3 linked regions of the Drosophila melanogaster genome follow. The protein of the gene in region 3 interacts with the protein of the main gene of each other region in a pairwise test. Each region holds a gene or a part of one and is shown on either strand. Other genes may lie near its edges.

What was found. The genes of interacting proteins can lie anywhere in the genome.
Region 1: the proteins of usp (region 3) and Chd64 interact in a two-hybrid assay, tested with the Drosophila melanogaster proteins (one study listed by BioGRID).
Region 2: the proteins of usp (region 3) and Met interact in a two-hybrid assay, tested with the Drosophila melanogaster proteins (2 studies listed by BioGRID).

What each region holds. Positions count from the first base shown.
Region 1 is NT_037436.4:4,117,901-4,124,660, reverse strand, and holds the start of Chd64 (Chd64), read left to right. Parts: upstream 1-2,272; 5' UTR 2,273-2,451; coding exon 2,452-2,505; intron 2,506-6,760.
Region 2 is NC_004354.4:11,613,760-11,623,268, forward strand, and holds Met (Methoprene-tolerant), read left to right. Parts: upstream 1-2,364; 5' UTR 2,365-3,108; coding exon 3,109-4,401; intron 4,402-4,470; coding exon 4,471-5,328; 3' UTR 5,329-7,521; downstream 7,522-9,509. Other genes in the region: CG1703 (uncharacterized protein), read left to right, coding at 1-1,196; RPA3 (replication protein A3), read right to left, coding at 1,586-1,687, 1,759-1,995.
Region 3 is NC_004354.4:2,036,126-2,043,897, reverse strand, and holds usp (ultraspiracle), read left to right. Parts: upstream 1-1,586; 5' UTR 1,587-1,851; exon of another isoform or gene 1,852-2,030; intron 2,031-2,253; 5' UTR 2,254-2,437; intron 2,438-2,511; 5' UTR 2,512-2,984; coding exon 2,985-4,511; 3' UTR 4,512-5,100; downstream 5,101-7,772. Other genes in the region: CG4325 (uncharacterized protein), read left to right, coding at 171-292, 485-839. UniProt on the Drosophila melanogaster protein: Receptor for ecdysone. May be an important modulator of insect metamorphosis. Plays an important part in embryonic and post-embryonic development. Binds to ecdysone response elements (ECRES) such as in the promoter region of s15 chorion gene.

The DNA.
Region 1 (6,760 bases), on a different chromosome or scaffold from region 3:
ATATTTAAACGTACACATTATATAGATAGATCTGAATCAGAATCAGAGCGGGAGTAACGATAAGACCGATCCCGAGCAGCTGCAGATAAAAATTAGTTAAGAACTAAGACAAACCCTAAAAGAGAAAGCGTGAGATATGGTGGGGACATCCTCCTCAGAGATCGGGGATCGTTTGCGAAGCAATTTAATATCAAAGAAATCTGTTTGTGAAGTACTACAACTAAGCTAAAAAAAAGAACATTTGATGCAATTTTCGATTCGAATCGTTGCGTTTCGATCTAATATAATTACAAACTCGCTTCAAAAGTTGAAAGTGCATGCTTACATTGAGTATAACTTGAGCCAGAGAGCAGGATAATCGCCTGGGCCGACGCCGAAGCAGCGTATATAATTGAAAATTATATAAAATTAGTAGACAACAAACCCCTAGTATAAACAACAACGCGAGATTCTACGGGGCACCCAGATCGAATTGTGTGTGGACGGGTCCCGAGCAAGCAATAAAAGAATACGAAGACGCGGTATCCACATACCATTAACCCATCCACATTTACAGCGCCTCACTGCTAGGAGGGCATATTCGAACCCCCTCTTTATTTTTTGCCCAACTTTGCACAGTTGTTCTGTAAGTTAAGTTTAATACGTTGAGCCAACGAATCGTGAGGTATTATTTATTTAAACAAAACGAAACAAACGAAAAAAAAAAAACATAGGAAAGAGGAGGAAATAAGGAAATTCAATTGAAATTATTTGCTGATACTGTTCGCAGCTAGTCGAGCAGATACATAGGTAGCCTGTAAACAATAAAACAATTACACGCGGATATATACACCCACTGTAATCACAGATGTCAGTGCTTGATATACACATGCCTAGGTCTAGTGGAACTGGTAGTTCTACCATGTTGTACTATTTGTAGTAGGAGTCCCAAATCTGATTATGCTTATGTCACCCTTTATTATAGGAATGTTCTCTGTATATTATTGCGTCTCTTTTGCGTCTACGTATATATTTTTTGGTAAATGATTTTTTATATATACATATACACATTTATATTTGTAATTTGTATTTATCCATGTGCAAAAATAAATTATGATGATTATTTTTTAAAGAGTCGTCCCCCTCGAAGCATGCATAACAGATTGTAAAAAATGAATCGATTTATATATAATACGAAAATCACACACTACCCACTTGTATCTGAGCGAAAGGGCCTTAACAATTAGTAGGATGCATGATCGATGTATGCAGATCGGTTATAAAAACAGATATAGCAGGCATATTATTCGCATGCGAAAACCGTTAATAGAATAATATATTATAATGGCAATATGTGTATGCAACTAATAAGCCCTAACTTCTAGTTAATTACTGCTTTCCTATGTTATAAACCAAATGGCGATATAATCAAAACAAAAGACAAGCCCACATAAGTTAAATGTGTATGCTACCAACATAACAAACCTTTGAAGATCAAGCTGAATTATGTATTTCTAATATTAAATATATCACAACCCACACATAAAAAAAAAAAAACAAACACGACAAATAGAACAACAAATTATACAAGCAATTCCCCTATTTATTTAGAACCACACTGAAACACTAAAGAAATTCGCTTCTTATCGTAAATCCACAATTGCATAATTTATACGATTAAACAAAATATATATTTATGTGAATAAACTGTAACTAATTCTCAAGGCAATCATCCAAATGCGATTCGCTACTTCTTGGTTTCCAGAAAGTCCCCCAAAAATGTCATGGTCATCTGAATGGAATGCTGCTGCAAGAACCTCTCGATAAGGGGGAACATAGGAAGTTTTCAATGGAACTTTACTCTGGCGAATCTTATCGGATAGTTTGTACACAACCGCAAAAAGTAGCACTAATAGTGGTTGACTTCTATTAAAAGTAAAGCAACAGGTGGATCATGGAAATCATACTGATTCAGATTCATTATCTTTTCAAAACCTATTGAAAACAAAAGTTACTGGTTTAGAAGGCAAATGAACCAGAAATTTTAAATTTATACTTATATAGTGTAAAATTGTTTCCAGTGCTCGATAGTTCCATGTTTTATTATTTGAAAAACAACTGCCGTTAACAAAGCGGTATGACATCATCAATGCCATCATAACAAATCAGCTGCCGCTGATAAGCGCAGCTTGGAGCTTTTATGTTGTACCCAACCTACTAGGTACAAGACTGAGTGTGCTTTACAACACTAAACTGTTGGCGAGCTTTCCTCTGTTTCGCAGCTCGGACCGCCTTTCATAACGTAGTAAGTTTTCGTTGCGAACGGACGTAGCCCAACCAACTTGGCCTTAACCCTTGCGCTCCCTCCGATTTATTCCGCGGCAAACACATTCCAGTGGACAGTGGTGCAGTTCAGCCCAAGACCAACCTACATTTTAGCTCCCTGCAAACCCGTTTCTTCATCAAATAACTATGGCGTCCAACCGTGCAGCGAAGTCTGGTTTTGCCGCCGAGGCCCAGCGCAAAGTAAGTACCAAATAGCAACAACAACCGCACCCCCCACCCAAAAACCGAAGAGCGCCAAACAAAACAACACAATAAACAAATTGCCCAAAAAAAAATCAACTTTTGCACGGGTGTGTGCGTGAGTTTAGAGCTGCATTGACTTTATTTGGCGCTGCGTTGTCAAGATTTTATCTTCGCGCGCCAAATGCCAAAAATTAGCCAAAAATGGTCTTGAAATTGCCAGCGTCTAACAAGGAATGACCTCATTTCGCTGATAAGTCGAACAAGTATTTATGTACATACATATGTATATAGGAATATATACATGCATGTACACACATGTGTAATGCATGCGTAATTCGAAAGCTTGAAGATGATTTAGGTGATTTTGAGGCATTGTCAGTGCGGGTGATTCAAATCGAAGATCGAGAAAACAGTTGGTTATCCATAAATCAAACAATTAGTAGTAGTTAGTAAAGCTCTGGAAATTTCGATATGAATAATATCCCAAGTTCGAACAGTATACATTATAAAGATGAGCTAATATAATCCTAATTAATTGTGCTGCAATAAAAGCAAGTCTGAATACATAGGTGCTACTTGTGGAGTATCCACTGTAGAAGGAAGACCCTTTGGATGATCTCAACCCAACTATTGCAGCATGGTAGCTTCCGCAATGTAAATTGACATTAGTTCCGTCCATTAGCAGCACTTTGCCTCAAATGCACTCATACAAATGCATCGGGCTTTTGTGGGTGGGATGGGGTTGGGGATGGGTTACCCGTACCCTTCGGCCATTTGGCCCTCGTCAAGTCGGGGTTACGCAATTCCAACCGCCCCTGGGCAGCCCCAAGTGAAATTGTATATGTCGCCGGCACAGGGGATTAAGTGCAGTCCGACGAAATCCACAACAAGACAACTACAGTTACAGCATTGCCCAAACAAAAAACGAAACAAATAATCGAGATTTTTCATATCCGAAGTTTTGTATACCCTTGAGGAGCACTTTACCAAGTTGTTGACAAACTGAAATATTTTGTTTTGCTTTAGCTTTGCTTATCTAAAAGTATTTCCACCCGGATTTCATTCTCTTGAGTCAGCCATTTGGCAAAAGGCCTTGTTTATCGGTATTATCTGTACTAGCGCATTTTTAAAACACAGTATGTTTTAAAACACAGTATGAAGTATGTTTTAACGTGGTTTATGGTGATATATCAGGCACTATGGTTATGAAAAATATTATGAGAACTCTGTAGTGTTTATTTATGCCATATCATGTTAAGCTAAAACATTTTGGTACTTGGAATAGGAAGAACCTTGGCATAGGGTATAGAAAAATAAGAGAAATAGAGGCGAGTGCCTGGAGGCGCAGCTGCTGGCGCGACTCCAAGCCGCGATCGAATGGCTCCCCAGGAGCCGAAGGCGATGATGTCATTCCTTCAGCTGTCCCTCCACTGGTGCTCCTCGATCCCTTCGCGATCCATTCAACTCGAAGGCGTTGTTAGTTTGAGCACTTTTGCCGCTCGCTGGGAGTCACTCATATCTTCTGAGGGGGATTCGGGTTCGGGTTTTGAGTTTTTGGGGGTGACAGGAGGTAGAGGCGATAGCAGCACCTTTTCCACCACATGAGCACTTAAAACTGAGTATGTGGCGTAAGCAAACAGCAAAACAAAAGTGAGGCAAAAAGGTATGAAAGCAATATTTTTGTTTGTCTCATGGGTTCTCTACACTCCGTGCTTGCGTGTGTGCTTTTTCCGACTTTTACGACCAGTCACCGACAAATTGGCATGGATCTCAAGTTTCGGCCAGGGAATTCGTAGCCCCTTTATTTTCAACCCTTTCCTGGGATCGTAGCACCAGCTGTCGGGAAAGTTCTAGGAATGAGGCAGAAAGGTCTCAAGTTACTCAAAGTATGTTTACTAATTTGTAACTACATAAACGATTGAATATATTAGTTTAGCAATCTTAGATTCAGCATGATACTATTTCCTTTCTGGAAATTCACCCCTAAGAAGCCGCACTGTAGTTGTTTTCTTTTCCAACTCCCTCCACGCTCGCAGCTGTATCTCACCGCATTGGCGGCACATGGGCCACGTACTAATCACTTGGCCTTTTTCGGAGTCAAGAATCCACACTCAATTAGCAGTGCATATGTGAAAGACACTGTGTACACACTTGTACATCCGCAGCACGCACCTCCCTGTATCTGTATCTATATATCAGTATAGGTACGGGTATCTCTATCAGTGCGGGCGACACGTAAGTGGAACACTTGGCCCACATGAACTCCGTGCTCCTAGATGGGTATAGCTAGGTATTCATTCCCGAACCTCTCCCCCAAAAATTTAACACTTGTTGGCCGCTAGTTTTAGATAAGCCATAAACAGTCGCGGGAGGTGGTCGACAGCGGCTTTATCGTAAATCAAATGCTGTTTTGGATTTCCGGTGAAACTACTGCCAGTGCCGAAAACACCTCGACAAATGAAAATGGAATGAAATTCTGCCCCCTGTCCAAATCCCTCCGAAAAAGGCACTCGATGGGGGCCCATACAACAACTCAGTCAACTGAAGTCGAAGTTGGTCGCTCGTAAACCAGACTCAAAAATCATATATGTATGTACGCAATTGACCTCGTTACATTTTTGCGGATTTTGTTTATGTTATCGTTGTGGAATTTTTGTCATTTTCCCATTTATTTATCCACCCAAAAGATATCGGTCAGCAATTGTCATGGATCATGACGCATTCGAATCGCAAAAGAAAGCGAAATCGGCGGTGGCATAGTGAATAATCACCAGATCTGGCCATTTCGTGGATTGATTTTTGAAGACGCGATTACGTAATTGTTTGCCTGGCGATGGATGCGTCAACTCCCAGCGATCCCTTTCGCAGCAAAATAAAAAAAAACACACATTTAACTAATCATCACCATCACCATCTACATCTATGTATCTGCGCTCAAATATTGCCAAAGTTCAAATTCAAGCCATAACGATGCCATGACATCACCACCATCGGCTTCAAAAAGCCATCAGCCAAGCAAAACGTGCCCCTGTCTCTTTTTCTGTGATCCTACAATGGATTATTATGCAATGATCATCAGTCTGGGGCTCCTCGCCGGCTTTTGGGCGGAAACTTCCGTCAAATTTGCAATAGGGATTCATTATTTATTAAGTATAAAACGTTTTTAGAATATTAGAGACACTTAGTTTCTTGCTGAAGCTAAAACTTATTTCTTAAAACAAACTGAATGGTACGGCTTAGTAATCCATTAAAGGAAGCATATGATTCCTAAAAATCAAGTTTTTAAAATATTTTATTTTCTGAATTTTTTAAATAAATGAGCTGGCTATCATTAACTACTTCCCGAAGTTTCGGAAACTTGCACAAATCTTTGATCATAAAACTCGTAGTGAAGTAAATTCTCGGAACTCTCACTCAATTGTGAAGTCTGAATCATGATGAACATAAATAATAATGTTATGTTGTACCAAAACATTTTCACTTTTCAAGTGGCGTAGGTGTGAATTAAATTGAGTTGGCGTGGGCAGGCGCTCTCCCAAGAAACTGGACTTTTTTCGGAGCTTGGGTTTCTGCTGACCCCCAGTTTTTTTTTTTTACAATTTTGGAAAGCAGGAGTTTTATGCTGGCTCAGCCAGTTTTTGAGCAATTTTAATTTCACTAAAAGCCAACCAGGCTTGGCTTGGCATGTCTTGGCCACTAATGCGCATTGCGTGTGGAATGCCATCCACCCAGAACGCACTTGAAAATAGAATACGTTGTACATCATGAGCTGGGAAATTAATTAGGTTCTTGAGTCTACTGAGCCCTTCATTGTCACGCCGCTTTGTAATGGCCCCTAATCGTGGCTAACTCATCAAGTGACCCAGAGACCCAAAAAAAAAAAAATGTAAAATGAAATATAATTTTGGCTGGGGAAACATAAGGAAATCATCGTAATTTCTAACGGCAAACGTTGACTAATTTGTAGTTCCGCTTCTAATTATTTATTGTGTTTTATACGTTTTGAGTTCGTATCGAGCGGTGGCTTTCGTCTGGAATTCTTGACTCCCGATAAGGCAGTAGTATATTCTAACCAGCTGTACATATGTTTTTAGAGAAATACTTATATATATATATATATATATATGTATGTATATATGGGGTGTACTCCATTACTGGCTGTACTTTTGGCCCGGCATTCGATCGTCGCCGAGTTTTGAGTCGACCTCATAGCGCACAAACCAAACAAAAACACAAATGAAACTCACTGGCT
Region 2 (9,509 bases), 9.6 Mb from region 3:
GGCGCATGAGAGTGTCCCTAGCAAGAGCTCTCTATCTGGAGCCCACGTTGCTTATGCTCGACGAACCGACCAATCATTTGGATCTTAATGCTGTCATTTGGCTGGACAACTATCTGCAGGGCTGGAAGAAGACCCTGTTGATCGTGTCCCACGACCAGAGTTTCTTGGACAACGTCTGCAACGAGATCATACATTTGGATCAAAAGAAACTGCAATACTACAAGGGCAACTATTCCATGTTCAAGAAGATGTATGTGCAGAAACGCCGCGAGATGATCAAGGAGTACGAGAAGCAGGAGAAGCGCCTGCGCGAGCTGAAGGCCCACGGTCAGTCGAAGAAGGCAGCGGAAAAGAAGCAGAAGGAATCGCTCACACGCAAGCAGGAGAAGAACAAGTCTAAGCAGCAGAAACAGGACGAGGATGAGGGACCTCAGGAGCTGTTGGCCAGGCCCAAGGAATATATTGTCAAGTTCCGCTTCCCGGAGCCATCGCAGCTCCAGCCACCCATTCTGGGTGTCCACAATGTCACCTTCGCCTTTCCGAGCCAGAAACCGCTGTTCATCAAGGTTGACTTTGGCATTGATCTAACTAGTCGAGTGGCCATCGTGGGACCCAATGGTGTGGGCAAATCAACCTTCCTCAAGCTGCTGCTCGGTGAATTGGAACCGCAGGAGGGTGAGCAGCGCAAGAATCACCGACTTCATGTGGGCCGCTTCGATCAGCACTCAGGTGAACATCTCACGGCAGAGGAATCGGCTGCAGAGTACCTGCAGCGTCTGTTCAATCTGCCCCACGAAAAGGCGCGTAAGGCATTGGGTTCCTTTGGTTTGGTCAGTCATGCACACACCATCAAGATGAAGGATCTGTCCGGTGGTCAGAAAGCCCGTGTGGCCCTCGCTGAGCTATGCTTGAGTGCGCCGGATGTACTAATTCTCGATGAGCCTACGAACAATCTGGACATCGAGAGTATCGACGCCTTGGCGGAGGCAATCAACGAGTACGAGGGTGGCGTGATCATCGTCTCCCACGACGAGCGTTTGATCCGTGAAACAGGTTGCACTCTCTACGTAATTGAGGATCAGACGATCAACGAGATTGTTGGAGAGTTCGATGACTACAGAAAGGAGGTTCTCGATTCGCTCGGCGAGGTGGTCAACAATCCTAGCGTGGTGGCCAATGCGGCTGTGCTGCAATAACCCTCAAGTTGCATACGGACTTGGAGTCCATGCAACTGGTCATCACTCGTCAGCTGGCTCGCCCTATGTTAATTGTTCAACTGTTGAATTGATTATCTGCTAGTTAGTCTTTTTATACCAACATATATACAATAACAAATTGTGGAAGTAAATGTTATTACACAAGAGCGTTTAAGAATGTGTTGTTTATGTTATTAAATTGTGGGTATTAAGTATTTGTTGTAGAATATACGTGGAACTGGTTAAAACACCCGTAAATTGTACTCGTAATATATGTAGATAGATGATTTATATTTAAAGTTAATGCCAGCTCTGAGTGTTCTCCAAAAAAATGGAAAAAATAACATTAGAGTACATAATATTAATTCTTAGATATAATTGTGGACATCCTAGCCGCTGCGATAGAAGGCCTTGACATTGTTAATCAGGTGGCTCAATCCATTATAGCCATCCTTATCGAAGTCGATGTTCTCGCCGCCAAACTCGATGACCTGCAAATGAATAGTGGGCAAATGGTTTGGGATCATTGAAATAAATGACTCCATGGATTGAGTGCACCCACCTCCTTGGCCCTGAGGGTGTCCGCACCATGGGGCACTCCAATGACCTCGACCCAGGCCCCTTCGGCGGCGCCCAGCTCACCCGGCAGATTGATCTTTAGCTTGTGGTTGTCTGTGGAACTGGCCAGCAAAGTGGATCCCGCGACGCTCTCCACGCGAACCATTATGCTCACGGTTTGGCCGGAAAACTGCTTCAGCATGCCGCCGTTGATAATCGAGCGTGGATCAAAGGCATCCATAATAACTCCTCAGTTAATAACGTTCAAAAAACAGCCAATTTCAGCAGAAAATGAAATGCCGTAAACAAGAAAGAGCGCCAATAGTTATCGAGCGTGCTAATCGATAATAAAATTGCATGACGTCTGCTATCGAAATTATTCGAATTTTGTAGCAAAAATATTTATGGATTTATTGTAACATCAAAAGTTATTACATTATTACTGTGGACTTATGTATTATAATAAGAATTAATAAAAATAATTTATAATAGAATTATAAAAAGACCTGATAGATTACATGTATTACAACAATGTTATCGACAGCGAACAAGATGTTCGAATCTTTCTGATATTTTGTCCGGTGTGAACGTGCGAATTTTAGTACGACAACCAGTTACATCGATGTATCGATAGTTTTTAGACTGGCCAATGTTTATTGTTATAAAATAAATGTTACAAATAAACAATTAATCACTTAGTATAAACAAAAATAAGTGCAAGCAGCAAGTGCGTTGTTAAAACGACCGCCGCCCTCCGAATTTCCTTATTGCGGGCATTAAATCGCAACAACAACAACGCCACCAGCAACAGCAACAACAATAAGCAGGAGATTCAGATTCGCAACGCAATCAAAACGTAAAAAAAAAACGAAAAATAAAAAACTACAAGGCGAAACGCATAAATAAATAGGGAAGCAAATAATAGTAATAATAAGACTAAAAGCAAGTGGAAAAGTACGAAAGCGAAAAGAGAAAACATATGTACGTTGCGTGAGAGTGACGTGTGTGTGTGTGTGTCAGTGAGCGAAGGAGAGTGAGCGAGAGAGGGGAGGCGAGCAAAAACAAAAACAACAGCACAGCATAAGCGAGACCTTGAAAACTTTAAAAGCAGCAAAAAAAACAAGACAACAGCCAAAAATAAGAAACTAAAAGCTGCAAAAGTAATAAAAAATATATTTTAGCCGAAAAATTTCCATAATAACAATTCTAGAAGTGCGGAGCGTACACCCTGTTATGGAGAGTGACGATTTTCATTTACCGCAAGGCGCCAATTAAAGGGGAAAATCCATAAATCGAGGATTACAAGTGGAAAACAAGGAGGCAGTAACTCCAGAAAACGCCCAAAAAGTCCAAAATGGCAGCACCAGAGACGGGCAACACGGGCTCCACAGGATCCGCTGGCTCGACAGGATCGGGATCGGGATCGGGATCGGGAAGTGGGAGCTCCTCAGATCCAGCGAATGGACGGGAGGCCCGTAACCTTGCCGAAAAACAGCGACGGGATAAGCTTAATGCCAGCATCCAGGAGCTGGCCACCATGGTACCACATGCAGCCGAATCCTCCCGTCGCCTGGACAAAACCGCCGTCCTTAGATTCGCCACCCATGGCCTGAGACTTCAGTATGTCTTTGGCAAGTCCGCTTCCAGACGTCGCAAGAAAACCGGCCTCAAGGGAACGGGTATGTCTGCCTCACCTGTCGGAGATCTACCCAATCCCAGTCTGCATCTAACGGACACTCTAATGCAACTGCTGGACTGCTGCTTCCTCACCCTAACCTGCAGTGGCCAAATCGTTTTGGTATCCACCAGCGTGGAGCAGCTATTGGGTCACTGTCAGTCCGATTTGTATGGCCAGAATCTACTGCAGATCACGCATCCCGATGATCAGGATCTGTTAAGACAGCAGCTAATACCCAGGGATATAGAGACCCTGTTCTATCAGCATCAGCACCACCAGCAGCAGGGGCACAATCCCCAGCAGCACTCCACTTCCACGTCGGCCTCAACTTCGGGCAGTGATCTGGAGGAGGAGGAAATGGAGACGGAGGAACACCGTCTGGGTCGGCAGCAGGGAGAGGCGGACGATGACGAGGATCACCCGTACAACCGACGAACACCCAGCCCGCGGAGAATGGCCCATTTGGCGACCATTGATGACCGACTACGCATGGATCGGCGCTGCTTTACCGTCCGCTTGGCTAGGGCTTCCACGCGAGCGGAGGCCACGCGTCATTACGAGCGGGTTAAGATCGATGGCTGCTTTCGTCGCAGTGACTCCTCCTTAACCGGAGGTGCCGCTGCCAACTATCCGATTGTCTCCCAGCTGATACGACGCTCGAGAAACAACAATATGCTGGCTGCTGCTGCAGCAGTGGCAGCAGAAGCGGCGACGGTGCCGCCCCAGCACGATGCCATTGCCCAGGCGGCGCTGCACGGGATTAGCGGCAATGATATTGTCCTGGTGGCCATGGCCAGGGTGCTGCGAGAGGAACGGCCGCCTGAGGAGACGGAGGGTACAGTGGGCTTGACCATTTACAGACAGCCAGAACCCTATCAGTTGGAGTACCATACGAGGCATCTAATCGACGGCAGCATCATCGACTGTGATCAAAGGATTGGTCTGGTGGCGGGATATATGAAGGATGAGGTGGGTATATTAACATCATCTCTCTGAACTGCTTACGACAACTAATCGTGTACTCTCCACTCGAAACAGGTGCGCAACCTTAGTCCCTTCTGTTTCATGCACCTGGACGACGTTCGCTGGGTGATTGTGGCCCTTCGACAAATGTACGATTGCAACAGTGACTACGGCGAGAGCTGCTACCGTCTGCTGTCCCGCAACGGGCGCTTCATTTACCTGCACACCAAGGGATTTCTGGAGGTCGACCGTGGCAGTAATAAGGTGCATTCCTTTCTGTGCGTCAACACGCTGCTCGATGAGGAGGCGGGCCGGCAAAAGGTGCAGGAGATGAAGGAGAAATTCTCGACAATCATCAAGGCGGAGATGCCCACGCAGAGCAGCAGTCCCGATTTGCCCGCCTCGCAGGCACCGCAGCAACTTGAGAGAATTGTCCTCTATCTAATAGAGAACCTACAGAAGAGTGTGGATTCAGCAGAGACGGTTGGCGGCCAGGGCATGGAAAGCCTAATGGACGATGGCTACAGTTCGCCAGCAAATACCTTAACTCTCGAGGAGTTAGCTCCCTCGCCCACGCCCGCCTTGGCCTTGGTGCCGCCGGCTCCCTCATCGGTCAAGAGCTCCATCTCCAAGTCGGTGAGTGTGGTCAATGTGACGGCGGCCAGAAAGTTTCAGCAGGAGCATCAGAAGCAGCGTGAACGTGACCGTGAGCAGCTTAAGGAGCGCACCAACTCCACGCAGGGCGTGATCCGGCAACTGAGCAGCTGCCTAAGCGAGGCGGAAACGGCATCCTGTATCCTATCACCAGCCAGTAGCTTGAGTGCCAGCGAAGCACCGGACACGCCCGATCCGCACAGCAACACATCACCGCCACCGTCGCTCCACACACGTCCCAGTGTCCTGCATCGAACCCTGACCAGCACGCTGCGATGACGGGCTGATGGAACCTGGTTTGCCTTCTAATTGGGTGTGTGGAAATGGACGTCATTGGTAGCTCACGTGCCCACAAACGAATTAGTATCGGTAATATAATCCTGGCCAATCGCAAAATGAAAACCCAAAATGTATCAGAAAAAAACGAGCATTATTCAAATAGTTTAAAAATTCAGCCAAAAAACTTAAAAACGAAAAAAAAGAGCGTGGGTTGAAAAACCTTTTGTTTTCATATTCACATTTCCAAGCTTTGAGCAATCAAACAATTTTAATTTTCAGTATACACATATGTATAATGAGTTGGCTTTACAAAAGCTATTAACAAATCAAGCAATTGTGTAATTTAATATGAGACTTTCCGTGATTTTCGCTTTCTACGTACTTTTCGACTTCAATTGATCTATAGGGTTTCCGTATTAAAAACGAAATTAACGTGGTTTCATTTGATGAAAATGCAATATGAGCTCGCATTTATTTTGATATTATGACAGTAATAATGATCTGATCACGATAATCGTTTTCTCAAAACATAAGCGATACATTTTGGGTACATTTGGCCATTACTGTTTCTGTGTGTGATTTCGGTATAAAATAGTAGTTTGATTACATGTTATATTGATGAATGGCGATCGGTGGGTGCTGCTAAATGCGTTCCATTATCAATAATTTTCGTTATGTAATTACGTTTAATTTGTAAATATGTATGAGTGCGAGCGTGAGTGAGTTTGTGATCGTGTCAGCATGGGTGTGAATGAACATTAGATCAGTGCTCGGATTTGGTTTTAGTTGAAATTTAAACCCCATTTCCCCGATTTCCCAGTTATCACCTTCCGCCCCAAAACACCAGTGTAAAAAGAGTACAAAAAAAAAAAGAAAAGAAAATAGAAAAACAAACAAACAATTATATATTTATTTCGCCCTAAGTCTAGAACGTGCTAAACACAACTCATTAATAGTTAAACAAACGGATGTTGCAATCGATGGAAATTAAACGCTCGCTTTTAGTTTTGCCGTCTCGCTCGAAGAAAGAAAGAGGACTACATATGTACAGTCAAACTAATCCAAGTCAAACTCTTCAGTCTCAGAATTGGAGACTTTATTAAAGGTTTTTTATTTTATGAAGAATAGCATATTATTTTTATATATATATATTTATGTATATATATTTATATCACAAATCTCCTTCGATATCCCTTTGTAATCTATAAAAACACTTCCAGGCGCAGCTTTATTTTTCAACAGTTTTAATTTTGGGAACTTTACAAAGCATATAAGCATACCCCAAATCCATATCCTTATAAACTTTGTAGTTATTACAAATGTGTTCAAAATTAAAAAAAAAGTTTGTCATCCAAAATCCAATCCGCTAAATACAATATAATCATTTTAATTGATCTATGTTACACTTCTATAATGTCTACTGGACAAAATATGATTAAGTTGAAATTTCAAAGTGTTTTTGAAGTTCGTACTAGCGAAGTTTGGCTGTAGTTCAATACTCACAGAAAGGGAGCGAGACATATTCCCATCTCGCTCCGACCTGTTATCAAAGCCTTTGCCATTGTCCTTGGCGTTGCGTTCTTATCACCGGCGTATCGGAGGGAATATATGATTTTTTTTTCGGCCAAGTGGTTCTAGTGGTAAATATGAGGCGGTGGGTGGTTTCGGGGGGTTTGGGGGAACGGCGGTTGGTGATGGGCGCAGAGAAGGCGGGAGGCGGGGGGGAACACGTTTCGTTATTTTTTGTTTTATAGCGAAATTCCTCTAGCTATAAATGTATGCATACATATATGCTATTAACTTTTCGTTTAGCTCAATTTTTTGTTTGTATTTTTAATTATAACTCGGTTTGTCTAGTGTGTAATTAAATTAAAAGTCCAATGCTAATTCCCCAGCGAATCGTTCAGTGTTTGTTCAAACGAGTTGTGCTCTTTAAACACTTTTGGCTTATCCTTTCATTTAATTTTTGTTTGTTTTCCTTGCGTTGTTATATGTCCAAATAAAAATGAAAGTTTGAATTGTTTTTTTTTAGTAATTTAGTTTTAACTGTAATGTCAAATGTCAAGAGGTATACTCTGTATAAGAATAATAATGTGTAATGTAATTTTTAGAACTTGCTAATCTCTAGCAATTAAAACATAGCCTGTAATTAACAATAATTAATTATAATAACCAGTAACAGTTCATGCAAATGAAACCTTAATAAATAATAAATTATATAAAAGAAGATGGAAGTGTTTTCAATCAATGAAGTTACTTCCTATTTTCAGGAGTTGGAATGTTACACTTTTTTATAAGCTGATTTGAAATGCGCGCCACATTATATCTGCCTTGCGCGCACGCATTGCAGCCGAATAACGGCGAATTAACTCCCCTCAGAGGTGAGTTTGAACTATCGATTATAATCGATTGCATTCGGAAACAAAAAACACCTTGAGTTTGGTCAGATCGGTTTTGCGCGGGATAAATAATAAAATATTAAATGTTTTCTTTGTTAACATTTCGCTGTGCATGCTGTCTGGGTACACATATACAGCCTATCGCCTTGGCTCACTAAGCCCATGGCTCAGATGTCCATTTGGACTAACATTTTGTGTGAGTAATTGAATAATAAGAATTACGGAGCTCGGACTTGTAATGGCCGAAGTACTACTGCCGCAATGCTTGGTTCACGTTAAAAAGAATCAAGTGCAACAAATTTAATTGTATTTAACTATTTTATAACCGCGCAGCAAAGTAATGGTTAATTCTGCTTTTAAATAGTTGACAGTTACAAGCGAAACATAGAAGCCGCGCAGGTTCCTATCGATACCATCGCTGGGTCATCGATTATTTGTCCAGCTCTACAGGTGAAACGAGCGTTGGCGATTCCGATTCCGATTCCAATTCCGATTCCAAATTCGACTCCGGACTCGAATCCGATTTGAATCAGATTCCAATTCAGTGTGGTGAAGAGCGAACCGGAGTGCGGACGGTACGGACGCGAAATCTGTTAAGGCGGGCCGCAAAGCAAACGCTCGAAAAACGCAAAATTTGTCGATTGTCCGTTCCGCTTTTTTCTTGTGTCTGTGCTTTGCGTCGCGTGCCTGCGTGTACGTGTAAGTGTGCGTGCGCCTGTGTTTGTTTTTTGTTATTTTTTTTATAACCAACGACAACAACAGAATAGAAGTAAATAAAATACACAAATTAACGGTGTATATATTTAAATGTTTTGGTTTTTTTTAGTGGCGTGCCGAATGAGCAAAATTTGAGAAAAACGCAGTGGAAAACGTAAGAAATGCTGAAATAAAGCTTAAAGTAAAAGCAGAAATTGAGAGTTGTTTGTGTGTGTGTGTGTATGTGTGTGCAATAATAATAACAAAAAATGTTGGCCGAGGGGGGCAGACAGACACAGAGCGAGAGAGGTAGAAGCAACACCTACGCAGCTTTTTTATGTATTATTTCGTTTTTTGGCATGCCGCTGCTTTCTCTCTTTCACACGCAGCCTCATTTGAATATTTTGTTGTTGTGCGGCAAATTTCTCCACTTCCTGTTTCTCTGACGGCATTCAATTTTGGGGGATCATTTTGGCTTGTTTCATAAAATCTCTATTAATGCTGACAATAAGTTGCGAAAAATTTCCAGTCGCATTAAAAAAACTTGTCCCACATTTAACAATAAATAAGAGGTGAAGAAATACGTTTTTAAAAACTTGTTTTGTTTTTGTGTTTTATGTGCCGAGATCATAAAGCTCTCTCTCTCCCTCTCTCCCTCTCTCTCTCTCTTGCTCTTCTCTCTCGACCAGAAGGAAAAAGATCAATCAAATCAATCTGCTCTGCTCTTCTTCTGTCTTCCTCTCTTTGCAACAAAGTTGAAGGTCTTTTCTGCATGACAACGTTGCCAAGCGCAGAAAGCAACAACAAGACAGTGCAACAATAACAAAACATACACAGAACAAAATTAGAGTAGCTTAAAAGGGAACTCCTAAATTAAATTAGTCCTACAGCAGGATTACCAATTCATTACAAGTCTATTCAAAAGATACAAGGACAACATCTTTAATTTTCCAGAAGATATGATACTTGTCAATACAATTTGAATTTTGTGCCGTGTATCGTTTTGATTTCGCAAAACTGGTTTTCAGACGTTTAGTTTTATTTGTTCTTCATATTTATTTGGTTTTTTTGCTGGCTGCGATATTT
Region 3 (7,772 bases):
GTGGAGTGTACTGTGGCTGCCTGGACGCTTATCAGCAAAACGCTCGATTCAGCGACTTGCATTCATTCAGTCCCCTGTCACCGGCCGAGCAACAATACGGCACAGGGAGATCGAACCTGATTGGATCGGAGCGAATCGAATCGACCTAGGTATAAGTCAACCGGAGCGGAATGGGCCGTAACAACGTCATCTGCACGATCTGCTCGGAGCGGTTTCGCACCTCGGACAATATACAAGCCGGCAGCTGCGGACACGCGTTCCACGAGGACTGCCTAGACCACTGGAGAAAGCAGTAAGTAAAAGTGATCCTAAGGACTTGAGAGCTATAACGAAAATGAAATGTGCCACTGATATAATATTCTAATTTATGCACCAATCAGAAATGAAAATGATACAAAAGTGATTTAAATCAGTGGCAGTGCCCCAAATCTTATCGCCGAGCTCAAACGTTTTGTCTTATACGCGGATTCCGTCTGCTTTGCAGATCAAGGACTTGCCCTATCTGCCGCAGCCAGGATGCCGCCTACTTTCAGCTTTATCTGGACTTTGAGGAGTTTCCGGAAAGTGCATCGGCTCAGGGTGGCAGTTGGGGCGGCCATAATCGGAGCCAAGGTCACAGCAGCAGCAGCAGCAGCTGCAGCAGCAACAACAACAACAGTAACGACAACAGCAGCAGTGACGATTATATTGGAATTATGAGGGAGTACGAGAATCTACTTTACGAGACGGGCGTGTACCGAGAAGAGATCGAATATCTTAACCAGCGGATCGGAGCCCTTACTGTCCTCAATGCTGAACTCAGCAAACTACATGAATGTTCGGATTCGGATGTTGATTAAAAGCCGTAAACAAACAAACGAGTCGCATTTGCTTATCGTACTATTCGCCTGAAAACCAATCAAAACCGAATATTTGCGAAACCGACAGGCAAAACGTAATAAGGCTGAGCTAAACAAAAGAACTCGATACATTTCATTATAAAGGAAGCGGTAGGTACAGGGTTAGCAACTAAAGGGTTTGACAAGATAATAGACCCAAATAGAAATAAATTGTTTAGGGCTGAGGCCCCAAATTGCGATATCAGAAAATTAAACTGATAGAAAATATCACATATTAGTGTATTTTTTGTATACCAATAATCAAATAAATATTAAGAATATATGTCCTGAATGTCAATTTTGATGTGAAAACTCTATTTCCATTCCCTTAAACTGTTTTAAAATAAGCTTCTTAATTTGATAGTGTTAAGCAAATTTTTTTCTATATAAATTTTGAATCTCCCATTTTTGTTCTAAACCGGTATCGAATTTTAAGGCAGATGTTAGGGTGCTCTTGAATTACTGAATCCCTGCTTCTTGGTCATCGCGGAAATTCATTTTTTAGAAATTTACTGCGGTCTAACTATCGCATAAATATATAAAATACATAAATATCCATGACGGATTAATTTTCAGATTTTCTGACCATTAAGCGAAGTGGAAACAGCCTATAATGTGCCATTGTTTTTTACCGAACCAAGGCAACTCACCGCGACAGTATACTCACCACAGACAAACCAGTTCTTCGCCCCCCGCAATCGCTTTCTCACCACGCTGTCAGCTGTTGTTTCGCGAAATGCTTCTTCTTGCGAATGCCAATTACCGCGTCGCGTCTCTTTGTGATGATGGGATGGACTCAATTACTACAATTACAATAGAGATTGCAACAAATTAAATCAGCGTCGTGTGGTGTTGTCGTGTCAGTGACGTGCCTGTGTGTGTGTGTGCTCGCGAGCACTGATAACTGATAGCCAAGGAAAAAAGTAAATAAACAACCGTCACCTTGCGGCGCATCAAAAGCCACTGGCTGCAAGTAAGTTGCACTTCCATTTGCATTTCGCCCAATTCTGGTTCCGTTTGGTCTTGGGATTCACGGTTCAGCAGCCTAACCGCTCGATTCTCGGCGACGGCGTTTGCGATTTGAGGCCGAGGTTGCCGCCGGCAGCGGTGAAATTGGCGCACATTCACGTCTCCATTTTGCATTTCTATTCTGCATAATTGCAGCGGCGCTAAATTATTTGTGCACTGTGTGGTTTGCAAGGCGGTGAGGAGGGGAGCCAGACTGACTCAGGGTTGCATGCGCCGTAGGTGCGGTGAGTTTTGCAATGGCGCCGCCAGGGCTGTCGCTACTCCCGTTTTCTGGTTTTCGACTAAATTAATTAATTGATTGATTGCGCATTGGTTATCAAAGTAAAAACACTTATTTTTGCGGCAGGTGCGATGGGCATTAGCGCTTTAATTGGGTCATTAACGCCCACTTAAAACTGTTTCTGTGAGTGGGAAAACAGCCCTGTCCACTTTGTGGTGAATTAGAGATGCGATTGCGCCCAGTCACGAATCCGTGCTTCAATTGGGAGACCGATATATGTACTTATGTCGTGCATTAATTAAAAAGAGGAGTATGTAATTTTATAGATGCGTTATATACCATATGACTTAAGGTAATACCATCGCCGTTGTTAATTTTATACAGTGTTTAACAGTCGTGACTGTGACTCGTGACGACGCAACCTGTGTCACAGTCCATCCCTACGTTGGTGAGTTGCGTCGCTGTGGTGAGATTGTCTTTGTTGAGAAAAAATGTCGACGCGAAAAAAGGTATTTATTCATTAGTCAGAAAGTCTGGCATTCTTTGTTTGTTGGTAAAAAGCGCAATTGTTTGGAGGCGAGCGAATAAAGTGCGCTGCTCCATCGGCTCAAGATTATGTAAATGCAGCAACGACCCCACCAACAACGAAACTGCAACCTGCTCCACTTGGCCCAACGGACCAATAGCGGACGGACGGACACGGTGGCGTTGGCAAAGTGAAACCCCAACAGAGAGGCGAAAGCGAGCCAAGACACACCACATACACACGAAGAGAACGAGCAAGAAGAAACCGGTAGGCGGAGGAGGCGCTGCCCCCAGTTCCTCCAATATACCCAGCACCACATCACAAGCCCAGGATGGACAACTGCGACCAGGACGCCAGCTTTCGGCTGAGCCACATCAAGGAGGAGGTCAAGCCGGACATCTCGCAGCTGAACGACAGCAACAACAGCAGCTTTTCGCCCAAGGCCGAGAGTCCCGTGCCCTTCATGCAGGCCATGTCCATGGTCCACGTGCTGCCCGGCTCCAACTCCGCCAGCTCCAACAACAACAGCGCTGGAGATGCCCAAATGGCGCAGGCGCCCAATTCGGCTGGAGGCTCTGCCGCCGCTGCAGTCCAGCAGCAGTATCCGCCTAACCATCCGCTGAGCGGCAGCAAGCACCTCTGCTCTATTTGCGGGGATCGGGCCAGTGGCAAGCACTACGGCGTGTACAGCTGTGAGGGCTGCAAGGGCTTCTTTAAACGCACAGTGCGCAAGGATCTCACATACGCTTGCAGGGAGAACCGCAACTGCATCATAGACAAGCGGCAGAGGAACCGCTGCCAGTACTGCCGCTACCAGAAGTGCCTAACCTGCGGCATGAAGCGCGAAGCGGTCCAGGAGGAGCGTCAACGCGGCGCCCGCAATGCGGCGGGTAGGCTCAGCGCCAGCGGAGGCGGCAGTAGCGGTCCAGGTTCGGTAGGCGGATCCAGCTCTCAAGGCGGAGGAGGAGGAGGCGGCGTTTCTGGCGGAATGGGCAGCGGCAACGGTTCTGATGACTTCATGACCAATAGCGTGTCCAGGGATTTCTCGATCGAGCGCATCATAGAGGCCGAGCAGCGAGCGGAGACCCAATGCGGCGATCGTGCACTGACGTTCCTGCGCGTTGGTCCCTATTCCACAGTCCAGCCGGACTACAAGGGTGCCGTGTCGGCCCTGTGCCAAGTGGTCAACAAACAGCTCTTCCAGATGGTCGAATACGCGCGCATGATGCCGCACTTTGCCCAGGTGCCGCTGGACGACCAGGTGATTCTGCTGAAAGCCGCTTGGATCGAGCTGCTCATTGCGAACGTGGCCTGGTGCAGCATCGTTTCGCTGGATGACGGCGGTGCCGGCGGCGGGGGCGGTGGACTAGGCCACGATGGCTCCTTTGAGCGACGATCACCGGGCCTTCAGCCCCAGCAGCTGTTCCTCAACCAGAGCTTCTCGTACCATCGCAACAGTGCGATCAAAGCCGGTGTGTCAGCCATCTTCGACCGCATATTGTCGGAGCTGAGTGTAAAGATGAAGCGGCTGAATCTCGACCGACGCGAGCTGTCCTGCTTGAAGGCCATCATACTGTACAACCCGGACATACGCGGGATCAAGAGCCGGGCGGAGATCGAGATGTGCCGCGAGAAGGTGTACGCTTGCCTGGACGAGCACTGCCGCCTGGAACATCCGGGCGACGATGGACGCTTTGCGCAACTGCTGCTGCGTCTGCCCGCTTTGCGATCGATCAGCCTGAAGTGCCAGGATCACCTGTTCCTCTTCCGCATTACCAGCGACCGGCCGCTGGAGGAGCTCTTTCTCGAGCAGCTGGAGGCGCCGCCGCCACCCGGCCTGGCGATGAAACTGGAGTAGGGTCCCGACTCTAAAGTCTCCCCCGTTCTCCATCCGAAAAATGTTTCATTGTGATTGCGTTTGTTTGCATTTCTCCTCTCTATCCCTTATACCCTACAAAAGCCCCCTAATATTACGCAAAATGTGTATGTAATTGTTTATTTTTTTTTTATTACCTAATATTATTATTATTATTGATATAGAAAATGTTTTCCTTAAGATGAAGATTAGCCTCCTCGACGTTTATGTCCCAGTAAACGAAAAACAAACAAAATCCAAAACTTGAAAAGAACACAAAACACGAACGAGAAAATGCACACAAGCAAAGTAAAAGTAAAAGTTAAACTAAAGCTAAACGAGTAAAGATATTAAAATAACGGTTAAAATTAATGCATAGTTATGATCTACAGACGTATGTAAACATACAAATTCAGCATAAATATATATGTCAGCAGGCGCATATCTGCGGTGCTGGCCCCGTTCTAAATCAATTGTAATTACTTTTTAACATAAATTTACCCAAAACGTTATCAATTAGATGCGAGATACAAAAATCACCGACGAAAACCAACAAAATATATCTATGTATAAAAAATATAAACTGCATAACAAGATATATGGTCGTTTTATCTGCGGATCTGCGATTAATCCCATTGTCCACACAAATATATGGCTTTATTTGCGTATATAAGCGGTGCGTTTCAGGACTGTAAGAAGAAATCGAGTGACTTTCTCGAAGGCGGAAATGTATATACATCCATGCCTATTTGCGCGGATGTTTCAATATTTCAGTTTTATTATTATAAATCATACTATGTTCTGTTCCGCCTAACAAGTTTTGTATTACTAGTTAAATTAGTTATTCTGCCGGCCCCTTGGGTGGCTTTCTTTTTTTTTTTAATATATCTGTGATATAATTAGGTGGAGGTAATAAATAAAGTTCACTGCGGAAACTCTTCGAAAATAGCCAGTCTAAATTTAATTCATTTCATTCAAAAGATGATCCCAACGATTTCACGATCTTGTACTTATAATGTGTAAAATGTTAACCAACTAGAAATCCCTTCTATTGTGATTATGAAAGGATCGCTTTTCGCTTTCGAACCGCACTGTACGCCTTGTTCGCGTCCCCTAGGCATTGATTTTTGGTTTGTGGACCATCGCCTGATGGTCCCCACTCCTCACCTTGATGTTGCGGCCTCTCAGATGGCATTTGGTCAATTTTTATAAAATTTATGTCTCAGCGGGAATGTATGTTAGTATGTATTTACAAAAATATGGTATTAACGCACAAGCAGCGACTAAGAATAGATATTGTTTTTGAAAAAAGAACAAAACTCGCCGCTGACGACGCACATTATGTTCTATAAATAGCCAAATTGAGGCTCTATCTCTTTCTATATCGTTGTATCTTATCTGTATATCTCGCCCCAAAGGAATATCTGTAAATTGGGACAAGTCGACGGATACAATACTTAGCCGTCGGAGATCCTGGCTATTTAACATGAACGTATTCTCAGATTCTCCATTCACACAAATGATCTAGAGCTTTTGAAAGCTCCCACACAGAGTGAAAGAGAGGGGTAGAATGTTAGAGAGAGACGGCAGTGTGTCCACACTTATTGTGGGTGGTTTTTATTGGTTTAGCTAATAGCTATCCTTGATTTTGTGTGTGGCGAGCATATTTAATAAATTTCATAAATTTCATCTCTCTCCACCGACAAGAAGAAGCCCACACAAATAGTCCTATGTAGCAGCGTGTTAAAAAATGTGGAATGAAAAATGAAATGTTTCGCACGGAAAAACCATGAAAGCATGCCAATAAAATCATGTGTCCCCTCCCCTCCTCCTCCAAATACCCACCACCATTTCCTTCGACGATTTGCGATTTCGTGTGTGTATTGGAAAAGAGTTTTCGAAGCGAAATTAACAATTTGCTATTTTCGTAGTTATGCGGGGGCGTTTGCCAAAGACCCACGAGGGGACTATGGGTGGATGCTGTCTGAACCGCGGAGACTCGCTGACAGACGAGGAGAAAACCAAGGAGGTGGGGCGTCAGACGCGCTGACGTAGGGGCCAACAAGTTGTTGTCGTCTTCGCATATCGCGCACAGCATACGCCATACAGGGTGCCCCTTTTGAGCTCTCTTACTTTCTTTGCGTTACTTCGTGTCGCCTGCAACTGCATTTTCCTACCAATTTCACTAATGGGCGTCCGTCCGAGAGCTCTCTTCGTCACAGCCGCAGCAAAAGCAAGGGGAGCAGGCAGCACCGCAGCTGCAAATGAGCAAAAAGCAGAAAGAAGGAGTTCGGAACTGGCGATACCCATTGCTTTTAGAAGACAGTCCAATGGCCAGACTATTTGGCTCATACCCAGGTCCTAATTACCTGATCGTTCAACAAACTCATGTTCAGGACATTCGTACATATACGTATATTCATCATAATCAGAATGTATCGGAATTGTGTTGATTTCTAAACGAGACGAGTGAAAGTCCACGAAAGCAGCATGCCCGCACTTCATCGTTCAACTAAAGGGTCCCACGAATCGTACGCTTATGCTGGCCGAATTCATACTTTCTTCTGCCACCCACTCCCACTCCGGCACTCTTGCCGCTCCACTCTTCGTGACTCGGATGTTCGCATGTTCGGATGCTTGGATGCTCGGATGCTTGGATGCTTGGATGCTCGGATGCTCGGATGTTGGGGTCTTCGGCTATGGCAAGCGATCCAAACTGATCCGATTCGATCCGATGCTCCCGCTGCACGGCAGACTTTTCTTCTTCCTCTGCGACGGCTGCTGTGGTGCGGTGGGCGATGTGGGGCAGGTGGGTCGGATGGGGGGGTTGGTGTGGTGTGTGTTGGTGCGCCGACGGCAGCGGCGGTGACTGCGACTGCGACGACGACTGCGACGGTATTCAGAGTTAGCAGCTGGCTGGCGCGACATCAGTTTTGAGTTGGCTATCAACGCGAGCGGGTCTTTCTCTTCGCAAGCGACACACGTAGATATTGCTCCAATTGCTGTCCACACAGATTGTTTTGTTGTTTTTGTTTTTGTTTGGTTCGACTACACACACACGAGTAGATATAGATATATATATGTGTACATATATATATATCTGGCTAACCGACTCACTTGCTTTCGTTATACTCTATTTTCTTTTTTTTTTGGGTTATTTTTTTGTACTTGTTTGAAAAATAAATATAAAAACGAAATATTAAAAAAAACGAGCAAAGCAAAATATAAGTAACGAAAACTGTGCATGTGTGTGAGGTGTGTGTG